Schizosaccharomyces pombe: one gene and its partners. Changing the gene in region 1 together with any one later gene gives a genetic interaction. Each region holds a gene or a part of one and is shown on either strand. Other genes may lie near its edges. The genes, in order: prr1, ecl3 and mak2.

The links.
Region 2: of prr1 (region 1) and ecl3, changing one suppresses a phenotype caused by changing the other (phenotypic suppression), as found in Schizosaccharomyces pombe (one study listed by BioGRID).
Region 3: mutations in prr1 (region 1) and mak2 impair growth when combined (synthetic growth defect), as found in Schizosaccharomyces pombe (one study listed by BioGRID).

The regions. Positions count from the first base shown.
Region 1 is NC_003424.3:3,663,238-3,668,823, forward strand, and holds the start of prr1 (stress-responsive DNA-binding transcription factor Prr1), read left to right. Parts: upstream 1-2,694; 5' UTR 2,695-2,769; coding exon 2,770-2,799; intron 2,800-2,896; coding exon 2,897-2,986; intron 2,987-3,742; coding exon 3,743-3,822; intron 3,823-3,875; coding exon 3,876-3,933; intron 3,934-4,076; coding exon 4,077-5,438; 3' UTR 5,439-5,586. UniProt on the Schizosaccharomyces pombe protein: Involved in oxidative stress. Transcription factor that acts upon trr1 and ctt1.
Region 2 is NC_003423.3:4,439,412-4,444,385, reverse strand, and holds ecl3 (protein Ecl3), read left to right. Parts: upstream 1-2,558; 5' UTR 2,559-2,776; coding exon 2,777-3,046; downstream 3,047-4,974. Other genes in the region: pho84 (inorganic phosphate transporter), read right to left, coding at 1-134.
Region 3 is NC_003424.3:4,023,884-4,029,469, forward strand, and holds the start of mak2 (phosphorelay sensor kinase Mak2), read left to right. Parts: upstream 1-3,135; 5' UTR 3,136-3,230; coding exon 3,231-5,586. Other genes in the region: Tf2-6 (retrotransposable element/transposon Tf2-type), read left to right, coding at 1-2,610. UniProt on the Schizosaccharomyces pombe protein: Involved in the control of the SAPK-dependent transcriptional response to peroxide stress. Regulates sty1 activity.

The DNA of each region.
Region 1 (5,586 bases):
AAGGGGGAAGAAAGAAACTAACTCAACCGAATATTTGGGTTGAGATGTCAGCCAGTATCAGGGTAGAGAGTAATGTGAGAGAACGCGGTTATTGTATAAGCGTGGGTAATCTTAAAGATGAAAAAATTTTATCAGATTAGATTTTTCCACATTGACCTTTGACAAATGAAAACTCCTAGATGCACAATCGACCAATCGGGGTAAAAATCAGATAGCGATCAGATAACTGATTGGATGAGAAAATAGTTACACTTTAAAGCTGAAAAGGCGAAGATATTGGCCAATATGCAGCAGAAGTGAGCCTAAATGCCTCGAATCGCTTAAACGAGGTACCGTGCAATAAGTGAGCACAAGATGTAGGTACGATAGCGAATCGAACGGCACTTGGCGTATTCAGTTCCGAATGTGCAAATAACAGTGTATAATTAAAGCACATTAATCTCAGTTAACGAAATCGGTCGACAAAGTAGACCAATGGGAAGGGTTCAAGCGAGCCCTTGGATTAAATTAATGGAAGGTTGTGAAGGGCACGTATTTACTAGATGAAGAGAGCGCGCTTTTCAGTATGGGTTAATAAAATGAAAACTTGTGCTACTAGTTTAAGCATAATAAATGGAAAAAGCTTCCCCCATTTGCTATTGCTATAGTGTGAATACACAATTGAGAAACTTTTAAAAATGCAAGTTTTAGAGAGGATGGATGGGATGGATACGCGTTTGAAAATGCCTTTTTTCTACTTCATTAGTTACGCCTTGTGAAATGGAAAAAAATCTTGAAGCCAAGTCTTCCTACCCAGATGGGAAATTCAAGACAAATGCTAGGAATGTGCAACAGATCATGTTTGCTAAAAGATATTGCAAGTGTGTGTCGTTTGACTTATTGACTGGACTAGTCGACGCGTTCATCCCATGAATAGGGGATTTCGCAAACATTTCTTATTGCTTTTAAAAATGGAAGTGCAGTTTTGTTATTACTTTTAAAGTAAAAAAGATGTTGCTGTTATTTCTTTAATGTAAATTAATTATATTTTACTATTTGCATTAACGAAAAACGATGCAATATCTAAATTACTTTTAGGGCACCCCTTATCCTTGCTATGTTAAATCTGTCATGGATGTAATGCTATTGCTATTGCTATTGCTATTGCCAGTGTAATAATAAACCGCGGAGCTGAGTCAGCACTAATAGCGTCATACCCTTATCTCTGCACTTATCGTATCGCTCGCCATCTTTTTTATAATTTTACGAGCGGAGAAATTTTTTGATGCAAAAGATATTTAACGAATCAATACATTGTCTTCTAATCCAATAACTACGTATTCTAAGGATGAATACTTTATAATGGGATTCTATGAGAATATTTATTTCGTTTATATAATCTTATGAAGCATTTCAAATAAGCATAACATGTATCTATTCTCTTGTTCGAAAACCGAGCCAAGGGATCAGGGGTCATTTCTAATGAATCAGGGGACTTCTTTTTCTTTCTCAATTCTTATTTTGTTTCCCTTTGTTGATAATGTAAAAGCCTCGTTTAATTGAGTACAATCAGCAAGTGAGGAATCGGTTTATTTCGCTTTCCTTTTCATAGAAAAAGGGACTCGTCCATCAATGTCCTGGCGTCGTTTATTCAAACTTTGTCATTCGGTGCTTTTTAACAGGCAATTTCCGCTTTTGCTGGTCGATCTGTATGCGTCAAAAGTTTTGTCTGGTCCGGCATCACACGATGTTGACAAAAAAATCATCATCCACTGCAAGGTGTAGTGGGTACACAAAGTTGGGTGTGTATTCCCAAATTCCAATGCATTTTTATAATATGCGATAAGCTCCCATAGCTAATCACTTGTCCTTTAACGTTGAAACTACTGTACACAAAGGTAGACCGCAGCACACACACTTGAGCATTCAAAGTAAGAGCGTCTGCTGGATATTCTTATAGCAAGGTCAATTGTGTTGAATGCATAAAGAGCATCTCTTTTCTGAATGGTTCAACGAGCATATTGCACAGTGGATTCCAATAAAAAAAATAAAGGAAACGTAAACGATCGAAAAAAAAATGCTTTTTAAAAAATCCCGTGTCAGCGTTTATACCAAGGAAATATCGCATAGTGATCCTTTTGCTCTACATACTCCACGCATGCACCATCGATACACTACCAAGAACCGCAGCAACTCAGCCTTATTACTGTGTCATCCATCCCATGTGTTTATTCTTGCTGTGCCCACAGCACGCTTGCACAAACGTATGTGGGACGGTCGTTACGTCTGCGATGATGACTGCCTAGGGAGCCCCGCGCGCTTTAGCCGGTTCAGGAAGAGTTTGGGATAATGCAGTACGATGGTATGCACTATACTAGATTTAACTTTGCAACGTTTCGCAATCGGTGAACAGCATCATCAAGTCAAATCAAGCACCGTAAAGGAGAGAGATCAGTACGAAAGATCCCTTTTCTGGAGGGTAGTGAAAAAGACAGTAATATGCGGGTTTCGCATTGTTTTTGAGGGTTCATTAATTGAGAAGTTTTTGCTGCAATTAACGTTAAAAAATATGTCGAATTTGCATTGCCGATCTCCTGCCGTTCATCGTTTAACCAACGTTGCGTAAGCTAACACGCCCTTGTGAGCATCGGCAAATAGCCACATGGAAGCCTCGAGGGTGTCATATCCACCACACCTCAAAATTTGCAACTCTCCAACAACCAACAACATTGTTGAAAAGGTGAAGATTTTTTGTAAATACGACCGTTTGGTCATATATTAAACGAGAAGATGCCGTCTTCGAACGGATCCTCCGACTTTGTATGTTGGTTCCTTTTTCCGATGAATTTTTTATAATTATAAAATTTCACGTTTCGTGATAAAACTATGTTTTCTCATACTAACGTTGTTGAATTAGGTGCGAAAACTCTTCAACATGTTGGAAGAACCCGAATATAGGCATATCCTGCGCTGGAGCGATTCTGGGGATTCTTTTATTGTGTTGGATGTAAGAAATCCTTGAAAATTTGTTTGCTGGATGTAAAAGAGAGAAGAAAGGAAGAATGAGTTATCATTATATTTATCGCCGCCATTGTTGTTATTTAACCAGAGAAAGCATTCTACTTTTATTGTTTATCCTCGAAAAGCTAGTAAAAGAGGGGAGATTTTTTTTGAAGGTTTGCTAAAAAATAATTTTTTTACTATTCTTGATTTGTTTCCTTTTTCTTTCTGATTACAACTTGAATTAAAAAGGATTGACAATGATGGGAAAGGAATCTTTTGAGGCAGCAAGAGATTCCTATCGCAACAATCGGGTTGTTTTATTACAAAAATCGCTTTTCTTTTTGAAATAAAACAATTCTATTCGTTGTTTTCTTTTTAGTATTACCAATGTTACGCTGAAAAACGTCCAGTTTGCCCGTAAACCTGAGTCGTCGAATTTGCTTTGTTTCCATACCCTAGTACTTTGTCCTTTTTTTTCGCATTGCATCTCGATTTTTTCGAACAGACTTATTCCTTGTCATCATCTTTTTTGAGTAATAGTTTTTACATCTCTTAGAGACCAATTTTATTTTTAGGCCTTACCTTCTTTTTAAACTTTGGCTTTTGACTAGCTATTCTTCTAGTCTTATGTTTTTTTTTCTCTTACGTTTGCATTTTTCTCCTTTCTTTGTCACTCTAATCTACTTTTCCGCATTCAAAATTCCTTTTTCCCCTTTCCCCTTTGTTTCCCTGAGTTTATCACTAACTTACTGCTTTTTAGACCAACGAGTTTACAAAGACCATTCTGCCTCGCCACTTCAAACATAGTAACTTTGCAAGTTTTGTCCGACAACTCAACAAGTATGAGATATTTTTATTTATTTATTTTTTTTTTACACTTGCTAATCGTCTAGATATGATTTTCACAAAGTACGGCACGAAGAAGGCGCGCCGAGTATATATGGTGAAGGGGTATGTCATATGGGTTAAGGATTTAGGGGCTTCATACTTGTTGAATAGGTTTGAGAAACAAACTTGTCTTCATTCCATCATACTTGTAAAAAAGCCATCCCTCCTTTTAGAATTTCTATTATACTAATCATTCTCTTCTTTAGGCTTGGGAGTTTCGTCATGACGACTTTCAGCTTCATCATAAGGACCTGCTCGACAATATTAAGCGAAAGGCTCCGTCCAAGCGCAATTTAGCTAACGAGAACACTGCTCCAGTTATTGAAAACCTAAAACAGCAGGTGGATTCTATATTAGACTTTCAAAAATTACTTGATAGAAATCTTTCGGGTCTTGCCACAAGTTACCAAACGATACTTCTTAAAATGTTTGAACTCAAGCGGGGGATTGAGTCTAGAGATTTGCTTATGAGTAGCATCATATCTTACCTCTGCGATTTAGAGGGATCTACTCAACGGCAAGCTAATCCCGGAGCCATGTTTGTTCCCTCTCATCCTCTCCAGGAGTTATTAAATGCATACCAAGCGTTAGCGAAGGGCCAAGTTGCAACTACTTCTCCACAACAGATACCAAATCAAATTCAACAGGCTTCCGCTGCTACTACCGCTTCTTCAAAGATGACTGTTGACACCAATCTTGGCACAGCACAACCTTCTTTGTATAATACTCCTTCATCTGATTATGAACTGGCAAATCAGGAAAAGCCGGCAGACTCCATGGCCTCTGCCGCCTCTCTAAATACCCCTTTATCATCTAATGACCATTCTTTGAATCCACACGCCCATGGCTCATATCCGATGTACGAAAAATTTCAACCGATTCAGCATCCAAATCCAGGAAGCTTTACCACCCATCTTGACTCCAATGCTTCCATGGCAAAGTCATTTTCTCAAATTTCAAACGATTCCCTTGCCAAAGCTAGTTCAGTAGCAACGTCCATGTCTCAAATGGGCGCTGCTGTTCCAACTACTGGCTTGTGGAAGCGGCAACCAAGGATTTTACTTGTCGAAGATGATGAACTTTCTCGTAGAATGACTATCAAATTTTTAACTTCATTTGATTGCCAGGTCGATGTAGCTGTCGATGGAATTGGTGCCGTAAATAAAGCTAATGCTGGTGGATTCGATCTCATCTTAATGGACTTTATACTTCCTAATTTGGATGGACTGTCTGTAACCTGTTTAATTCGTCAATACGATCATAACACACCGATTTTGGCTATAACTTCAAATATATCGATGAATGATGCAGTTACCTACTTTAATCATGGTGTAACAGATCTATTAGTTAAGCCATTTACAAAGTTGACTCTACTTCAACTTTTAAAAAAGCAACTTTTGAATCTTTTACAAGCGGATAACTCAATTAATATGTCTGATGTTCCCTCCACGAAAGAAGCTAAAGACGATAAGGCTCCTGTGACATTTTACTTAGAGAATGATGCTCCTATGTATCCTCAACAGATGTTACAGGATCCCATTCAAGCAGACTTACAGCATCCACATTGATGGAAAAGTCTTAATGTTATATATTTCTTATTTTTACTATCAGGTCTCTTTTACTTTTGTTTTATATAAAAAACTATCTATCACTTCTGTTTGATTTAGTTAAAGGTTTAATCTTTGGTCTATGTATCTATGTTCTCTTTGGGGTTCA
Region 2 (4,974 bases), on another chromosome or scaffold:
AATTCGCGCTTTGTCAACCCCAAGTAATAGCGACGCTCTTGCGCACCCTCTTCGACTTGGTCGAGAGGTACTGCATCGTCGTTATACTCATCAGACTTAGATCCAATGTTTAAAATTTTGCTCCCAAATGCCATCTTGTGATTTCCTTGCGTTCAAAATATGAGAGAAAAGGAAAGCAATGAATGATAAAGTAAGTCTTAATCGCTGCTTTATGCAAATTAATGAAGTCCGAATGCGGTTGCAATTAGAATTAAGAAAACTGAGTACCGGTGGTTTACACACACAGATAATTCAGTATGCAATGGAGCAATATATATAGTAAACTACCAGTTTGTCAGATTGGTGGCTTTGTTATAGAAAAAAAATTAATAATTAAGATCAAAAGCTTTGGTGTTGACGTTCCCTGGCAACCGGCACATTCACCACCTGCTTAATCTTATTTCAAAACAAAATAGCAAAACAGGAAGAAATCGGAAATGCAAAACACTATGTTTATAAGTAAACCGTCCAATTTGCTTTGTAACTGATATGAATCCAATAAGGAAATATAAAAAAATAGTAAAAAAATATTAACAATTAAAATTTTCTATTTCAGGATTAAGGTAACGCGGTGTTAGAAAACTGAGGGAAAGTAATGGGTCAATTTGGTTTAAGATTTGCACTTTAAAGTAAAAGAATTAGCACTAGCGGACAACTGCAAAAACAGACAATTATACTAAAGGGGTATCAGTTCATAAAAAAGTTGCAAAAGTGGTAATACCCTCGTTAGACCCACTCGGAAATCTTAAGTTAATAACGTTGACATTACTAATTGAGACAAAATTGTAGTTAAGAGACAAACTCATACTGCAGAGAACTCAATACGGTATGCATTCAAAATGAAATTTGCGAAAATAAAAATCAGTATGTCATTATACAATACAGAATTGGCCCAAGTAAAACACGGTTTAATCGTCGAGCTGTTTGGTTTTTTCAATTCCATGGAAAGCACGCGATGTCGTTGTTTTAAAACCAGTAATCGGCCGGTTTCAAAAGTATACATTCCAGAATACCACGGATTGATGCTGTGTAGCTCAATGCATGCCCACACACAGAACACCCGGATAAGTTGGTTCCGATATCCTCCAACCCGATAGGATGTTGGGTGATAAGATTTCTTTGACAAAATAGACATCAACAAAGCATGCATGCTTCCACTTCCATTAAACTCGGCGAACGGAAATGCCGCCATCCTACAAAATTCCCCTCACCTCTCCTATTGTCGGTCTTTGAAATTAACAACTACCAGGTACCGAGCAGAATGTTCTGCACGGAATTGACCTGACAACCGGCATCCGCACAAAACAGCCACTTCAGCAATTTCGGTTCCAAGTATGTTCCATTCATGCACGTAAACCGTAGTTTATTTTAGGAACCTCAGTTTACCGAACGCTAAAATTTATTAGGCAGCATATACTGCCGAAGCAAAAAGATGAACGGATACGAGGATTTTACCGCCCGCCACCCTTCAACAAGTGTAATGGATATAAGATGATTTGATAGTATTCGAAAATTTTTGAATTTTCGTGTCGAGTAGCAAATTCCATTGTTTTACATTCTTGCTATCTAATTAAAAGCAACGATGAGTTAATCTTTCGTGCATTATTCTAGTTCGACAAAACGCAGAATAATTTTCAAGAAAAGACCGTGGAAACTAATTAATTATTATAAGGACAGATGTCGATATTAATAAATTTCAATTTCTAACGATTTTCATAGTTTAATTTGTTATGAATTAATTCTATCTCATCCTCTATGACTTATTTCGTTCTATTTCATACTACCAATGCGTTTAAATTAAAATTAAAAATTTGAATAGTTAGGTACTCAGGCTTCTTATATAGCTATTGATGCAGTGTGTGACGTCATTTTTTTAAATTGAAAAAGGGGGTTTTTGACAGGGTAAGATTGTGTACCGTTCGGTATGCAAACTGAACTGGAAGATTGGAAAAATTAAACCCTTTTCTGAAAATAATAGGAATTAAGTTAGGATAGTCGAAACAATTTCTTCCATATAACTATCGTGATCAGTCAAGGGCAGTTTACTAATTTATTTCCAGCGTCGTATATTGCCGAATTCACACGCATTTTACTCACATCGTTCGAAGATAAAAAAAATATAAATAATAAAAATTGAAATTCGTGTAAGCGAAAAGGAATGTGTGAGAAGGATTTTGGACTGTTCTATTCTCATGGGAATGTGAAGTAACTACTCTCTTGCTACCATAGTTGCTTGTTGTGACTTGACATCGTATAAGTGACTGTAAATTAGATGCCGGCTCCATGTCGCACAATAAACCTTTTGAGAGAAAATAAATTATGACATTCCTAAGACTCGGCAATTTTGATTTGTTATTTTTTTTTATTCTCTCAACATTTCCCTAGATTCACAGTCGAGAATGATACGTTGATACACATCCTTTCACGGTAATCTGCAATCCCTGTTTATGGTTTTACATCGTCCTTCGTAATTCTTGTCTTTCTTATATATATATGGAGGAGTGCGTTTGAGATACGCCAGGACTCTAGAGAATTCTTCTCTTTCATTTATCTACGATAAAGTCTTCGTTTCTCCTCTCATTCTTTCACTAGAATAGAGAAAAAGAAGGACAATTGCAAAAGCTCTTTTTATAATTCAATCTTCCTTCTCAATTTTTTTTTCTATTTTCAAGCAAACCAACGGATTTTGACGTTCGTCTTTTCGTTATCTTTCAAAGTTAGCTATTTTAAAGAAAAAATGGATTTAAACTTATGTTTGCTATGTGGTAACTCCATCGATGCCGAAGGATTGTATTGCTCAAATGAATGTCGAATTCAGGATAAAGCTACGACAGAGCTGTTTTCTGATCCCTTGAAGTCGCCTTCTCTCAACGAGACAATAGACTACCTTGCTTTGAATTACTTTGATCTTTTCAGCAGACGATCTTCAATGTGCTCTTCGTCGAATTCCTCAATTTATTCTGGGATATATTATACCGAATTGAAGAATTATAGTGTTGAGAATTAGAAAATTTTTTACCTTTAATGTTTTTTCTACTCTTTGAAGCATTTCTCTTCTATTTGATCGAGCTACATAAATTATCGGTTTTGAGGCTATTGGAAGTTAGTATCAAATAAAATTTGGTATAGTTTGGATTTCCCTAATCATTTTTTCATTTTCGGCTTCATTTGTTTTTTACATTCTCTTTCTTAGTTACTTACCTACAGTTCTTTCGCGTTTCCTCGGATTTTTTTTCTTTTCTTTTATCACCCTCACTAATTGCATTATTTATCTTTAATTTTCTTTTGAAATTAAAAAAAAAAGAGGGTCTACTTTAATTTTTTTTTCTTCAATCCTGAGCTCATTTAGCATCACTTTAGAATGTTTCATAATGATATTAAGGGATATCCATTTAAATATATTACGGAGCTTGTCACTCTACCCTTGAGTCTATCTTAAAAAAATACATTTACAGAATCATTTGTTTACGATAACATTATTGATATTCATTTATACATTTAAAGCTTTTTTTTTTATTAAAAAGCATTTTCTTTATATTAATAGGACTAACGTCAATTTCCTTTCATTTGCATACATTCGGCAATAATGACTAGCAATTAACACCAATGCTAGAACGATCTTTTTTGTTTTATTATAGTGTGCCTAATTTTCTTTATTTTTCGTTATTTGTGGCTGCATTTTTTATTTATTTATTTATTTATTTATTTACATCTTGTCATTTAGTTAAAAATTTAATGAACTATTTTTGTTTAACTAATATTAATTTGTCATTTCATCTTTTCTTTATACATCTTATTTTACTGAATCAGAGTTATTTGAATTAAATAATAATTAATTTCGCTTCTCGTTTTCTATGCACCATACAACTAGTAAAGATTTATTAAAGATTTTTTATATACTAAACTTTTAAAAATGTGTACAAAAAGTGGGACGTGTAGATGTCACTGATTTGGATTTTTTCTGTAAATTAGCTTCGGCAAATTTATTAGAATAAGAACAGTAAAAAAAAAATAAAGATTGGAATGTGCTTAAGATTTTTCTCAAGAAGTGTAAATGCTACGAATTCAATAATTATAATAAATTTGTAAATAATATAAAGAATCACAAATGCAGAATTACCATATCATTGATGTCTACATGAGTTAAGACCTTGGCGAGTTTAATAGTACATGAACATCATAAAAAATTTCAAAAATAAACTTAATATTGCCACAGGATGGAGATTTAGTATCCCATTTGTTTAGTATCCTGCTAGCTCATCCATAACTGGAAAATTAGGAAATAAACAACGAAATACTGTTTATAATCAATGAATATTCAAGGAAAAACAACCAACCAAAATTTACAGCATAATAATTAACGACGAAAAGATGGAAATACCGTAACGATGCGCAAACCTCCATACTGAAGTTGTAAATGAATCAGTCAACCGTTGGAAACAGCGTAGTTCATATTCTAAAGTGTGGTAGCGAATATCTTTCTTAGTATTTCTAGCTGCCGAGAGATCTACCAACGAACTCTAGGTCTCCGCAAAATTTGACAAGAGTGGTACTCGGCCTGGATAACTTTATGTTCAGAAGAAAGATCATCGTCATGGCATATGATTATCAAAAATTCCCCGTGTTTAAGTATCACAACTCAGATAACAATACCAAGGAGAATAGGAAACCATAGAATACAGTCCGTGAGTAGACACTCAAGGAAATTGACATCAATTCACAGTCTCCATTGCAAAGTCTTGGTGTGGATATATTATATTATAATATTAATACAGGAAACAATGAAAACGCTTGAAATAATGATGCCTGATATTTTCGAAACACCTTGCGCTGCAACGTGTGCTATTTTGAATTATATTCAGGTGCAACAACAGACATAGTTGAATTACCATGACTGTGCGAATTTTACTAAACTAGAATAATCAAGAAAGGCTG
Region 3 (5,586 bases), 360 kb from region 1:
GTGGTTGACTACAAACCTTTAAATAAGTATGTCAAACCCAATATATATCCGTTACCACTTATTGAACAATTACTTGCTAAAATACAAGGTTCTACAATTTTTACTAAACTTGACCTCAAAAGTGCCTATCACTTGATACGAGTAAGAAAAGGAGATGAACATAAACTTGCTTTTCGCTGTCCTCGTGGAGTTTTTGAATATCTAGTAATGCCTTATGGCATATCTACAGCTCCAGCACATTTTCAATACTTTATCAATACAATACTTGGTGAAGCCAAAGAATCACATGTAGTATGTTATATGGATGATATTTTAATTCATTCAAAATCGGAATCTGAACATGTAAAACATGTTAAAGACGTTCTACAGAAATTGAAAAATGCGAACTTAATTATCAATCAAGCAAAATGTGAATTTCACCAATCACAAGTAAAATTTATAGGGTATCACATTTCGGAAAAAGGATTTACGCCTTGTCAAGAAAATATAGACAAAGTCTTACAATGGAAGCAACCTAAGAATCGTAAAGAATTACGACAATTTCTAGGTTCTGTCAATTATCTTAGGAAATTCATTCCAAAGACATCACAATTAACACATCCACTCAATAATCTTTTGAAAAAGGATGTACGCTGGAAATGGACACCAACACAAACCCAAGCGATAGAAAACATTAAACAATGTTTAGTTTCTCCTCCGGTGCTACGACACTTTGATTTCAGTAAAAAGATTCTACTGGAAACTGATGCTTCAGATGTCGCTGTAGGAGCCGTATTGTCTCAAAAACATGATGATGATAAATACTATCCTGTTGGATACTATTCAGCAAAGATGTCTAAAGCACAATTAAATTATAGCGTATCGGACAAAGAAATGCTTGCAATCATTAAGTCTCTCAAACATTGGAGACACTATTTAGAATCCACTATCGAACCTTTCAAAATTTTAACAGACCATCGAAACTTAATTGGTCGCATTACTAACGAATCCGAGCCTGAAAACAAACGTTTAGCTCGTTGGCAATTATTTTTACAAGACTTCAACTTTGAAATTAACTACAGACCTGGATCAGCAAATCACATAGCTGATGCCTTATCCAGAATTGTTGACGAAACAGAACCAATTCCAAAAGATTCAGAAGACAATAGTATCAACTTTGTTAATCAAATCTCGATAACCGATGATTTTAAAAACCAAGTGGTTACAGAATATACGAATGATACAAAATTGTTGAATTTACTAAACAATGAAGACAAACGAGTGGAAGAGAATATCCAACTCAAAGATGGCTTACTAATTAACAGTAAAGACCAAATCTTATTACCTAATGATACTCAGCTGACTAGGACAATTATTAAAAAGTATCATGAAGAAGGTAAATTGATTCATCCAGGCATTGAACTTCTTACAAACATTATATTACGTAGATTTACGTGGAAAGGAATAAGAAAACAAATACAAGAATATGTACAGAACTGCCATACATGTCAAATAAACAAATCTAGGAATCATAAACCTTATGGACCTTTACAACCAATTCCCCCATCAGAAAGACCTTGGGAATCTTTATCAATGGATTTTATTACAGCTTTACCAGAATCATCTGGTTATAATGCACTTTTCGTGGTAGTTGACCGATTTTCAAAAATGGCAATCTTAGTACCTTGTACGAAATCCATTACAGCAGAGCAAACAGCTCGAATGTTTGATCAACGAGTTATTGCTTATTTCGGCAATCCAAAAGAAATCATTGCAGATAATGATCATATTTTTACTTCCCAAACGTGGAAAGATTTCGCACATAAATATAATTTCGTTATGAAATTTTCGTTACCATACAGACCACAAACTGATGGACAAACTGAGCGTACAAACCAAACTGTGGAGAAATTACTAAGATGTGTATGTAGCACACATCCAAATACATGGGTAGATCATATATCCCTAGTGCAACAATCTTACAACAATGCGATACATTCAGCAACTCAAATGACACCTTTTGAGATAGTACATCGCTATTCACCAGCTTTATCACCTTTAGAGTTACCTAGCTTTAGTGACAAAACTGACGAAAACTCTCAGGAAACGATCCAAGTATTTCAAACAGTTAAAGAACACTTGAATACAAACAACATAAAGATGAAAAAGTATTTCGATATGAAAATACAAGAAATTGAAGAATTTCAACCTGGAGACCTAGTTATGGTCAAAAGAACGAAAACAGGTTTTCTTCATAAATCCAATAAATTAGCACCTAGTTTTGCAGGACCGTTCTATGTGTTACAGAAGTCGGGTCCAAACAACTATGAATTGGATCTTCCAGATTCAATCAAGCACATGTTTTCATCTACTTTTCATGTTTCTCACCTAGAAAAGTATCGACATAATTCAGAACTCAATTACGCTACCATTGATGAGTCTGATATTGGAACAATTCTTCATATCCTAGAACATAAAAACAGAGAACAAGTACTCTACTTAAATGTCAAGTACATTTCGAATCTAAATCCGAGTACTATTATGTCAGGATGGACTACATTAGCTACAGCGCTACAAGCGGACAAAGCAATTGTCAATGATTATATTAAAAACAATAATCTAAATATCTGAGAACATATGACTTATCCTCAGATTTACATAGAAAATCTTGGGGAGGGCAATGTCAGCAATACTACACTACGCTATAATACACTACGTTGAGTATCACTATATGTCACATGTTCTAATTATATATCGTACCATGTATGATACGATATGGAGATTGATCTTAATGATAATCTATTAAGATCAATATTATCTGAATACTATAAATAGAGCTACTGCTGAACCTCGTTCCTCAGTTCAGTTATGAGCTATATTAGTGATAGGTAACATTATAACCCAGTTAATACAATACCTATACTCAGTTGCTACTTATACAACCTGTGTATCGTAATATAATAGATCACAAGGAAAACTCACCGCAGTTCTACGTATCCTTAAATCAGATACCAAACTGCGTAGCTTACATTTTAAAATCAATAAGAAGCATACCACATTTTTTGTTAAATGGTATAAGGATACCCTCTGTCATGCTAATTGGTGACGGCAAATTCTAAAGTTAACAATAAATCCACCCCTTCAACTTCTCATTTTATACTATATTCTAAATATTAATTATTTACAGTTTAACATGTCGTATTAAGGATAATTATTGATTTTATTTTTATTTTTTTTAGTTCAAATTCTCAATGAGCTTGTACAAGTCATTGGACGTTGCAATTGATTATGCAATTTCTCAGTTGGGAGAGTTCCAGTTCCAACCAATTCGTACGCAATCGAACCCTTCTTCTCTTCTTTCTGCGTGCTTGGTGCGTGCCGTCCATGTAGAAACAAGGCGAAAAGTAATTTTTAAGTTTTCCCAACAAACTTTCAAGCTAGAGAATGAATACTTTTTGTTGCGTCAGTTGTCATCTCATCCAAATGGAAGAAATTATGCTATTGCTCCCGCATATATATTACTGTTGAACGAAACCTTAGGTGCGCTTATTTACGATGATCCTGGGCCTAACATTCTGGATGAGTGGTTAGGGAATCCTAACCCTTTGGATCTAAAATTATTTCTCAAGTTTGCCCTTGGCGTTTCTTACGTCTTATGTTTTTTACATGAAAAAAAAATCGTGCATGGCGAAATTCGTCTTGACACTTTCCATTATGATTTGAATGCCCCTATTCATGCAAAGTTGCTTACCATCGGGAGTAGCGTATCCCCTATCAGATTTACCTTGTCTTCCTTAAACTGGAAGCGTCTTTATCAAGTCCAGAATATATGTCACAAACTTCAGTTTTTTAGTCCTGAACAAATTGGAAATGTGGGGCGACCGTTAGATTCCAGGTCCGATATCTATTCTTTGGGTATTCTTTTTTATGTTATCTTGACCAAGCAATATCCCTGGGGTGGGCAATCTATGAGAATTGTTCAATCGATTCATATGAGACAGTTTCCTTCTGTATTGCCTCGTCGTCCTGATGCCTTTCCAGCGCTTGATCAATTGATTCAAAAAATGACTGCCAAGTCTATGAACTCAAGAATTTCTTCTGCTACCGATTTGTGTTATACGATTGTTGAGTTAATGCAAGAATTTTCTACAATCACCTCTTCTCCTTTGCTGGACCAAAAATTGTTATCTATAAATAAACCACAGCAAGAAAAGCTTAAGTTTCCTAAATTACTATTGACCAATTCTTCAGATTACGTCCGGATCTTCCACGAGCTTGTAGCTTTTTCTTCAAAACGCGATCTTCTAACGAGTGCTAAGCGTGTTGATAAACTTCCAAAGCAACACCTTTTCAAATATCGTCCAGTAGATAATGAGGCTACATATTGCCAAGTTGTTACAGTTACCGGTGAGAAGGGCTCTGGAAAAAGTAATTTGCTTAATGCTGTCGCCGATGAAGCAAGAAAATTTGGATATTTTGCAATGAGCTCTTTTAAAGGTCATCATTTTTCTCCATATTCTGCCATTTTTAAATGTGTCTCTTTAATTATGCAACAGACTCTTCGTGAAGAAAAACAGCTAGTTACTGATTACTTTACATCGCTGTGGGAATTTCTTGGATTTCAATTGATTTACATGGGAGAACTATTTGAATATGTTCCAGAATTAAACTCGCTACTATCTCCGAAATATAATCTACATTGCAAAAGAGAAAACTATTTCAAGTTAAAAAAGAGAGATCCCCAACAATTCCGCAGTGCAAGCGGTCGTTTAGGATTTATGGTTTGTCTTCTAGAAATACTAAGCTTCACTTCCAGAGTTCGACCTGTCATTATAATATTGGATGAATTACATTTGGCTGATCATCCTTCGCTCTCTTTGATAATTGGCATGATTTCTCATAGACTTCCTATCTTACTAATTTTGGCTTGGGATGAACCTGTGATGTTTAAAGATTTTTCGAAATGTCTTCATGAGGCCCCATATGCGATGGTCACTGATATTAGAATGAACCTTTTTGATCGTAAAAATATAACTGAATTTTTAGATAGCACTTTAGAGTCTCCAACTCAAGCTTTGGGTCCGTTAGTGCTATTGATGCAAAAGCTTAGTAAGGGAAATCCGTTGGTGCTAAAAAGTCTTCTACTCATTGCCTTTGCTAATAATGGCTTTGCCTTTCATCCAAAATCCTCTTCTTGGACTTATGATCTGCCTGTTATCAACCGAAGCTTTGAAGCTCTTTCTTCTTATGATATACCACCATTACTGGCATCATTGTTGGATGCTTTACTCCCTGCCAGATGTATTGAGTTTCTTTTATGGGCTGCATTGTTGGTCGAGCCGTTTCCGTTTGAATTGCTTCGATTAATTACCACATCAATGCATTTGTTTATCCCAAAAGAAGAGATATTGGATTTTCCTCTCAATGTTTTACAATTTGATAATGATAACGAAAGTTGTCAATTTTCTGAAACATTTTTTCGTGAGGGCATACTATCAAAAATCAGTTTAAGAAGGGCCGAATCAATGCATGCCCAGATTGCTAAAGAATTAATCACTGGTACTGCTAAGGAATTTTATGATATCCGTACTGTGCATCACATACTTA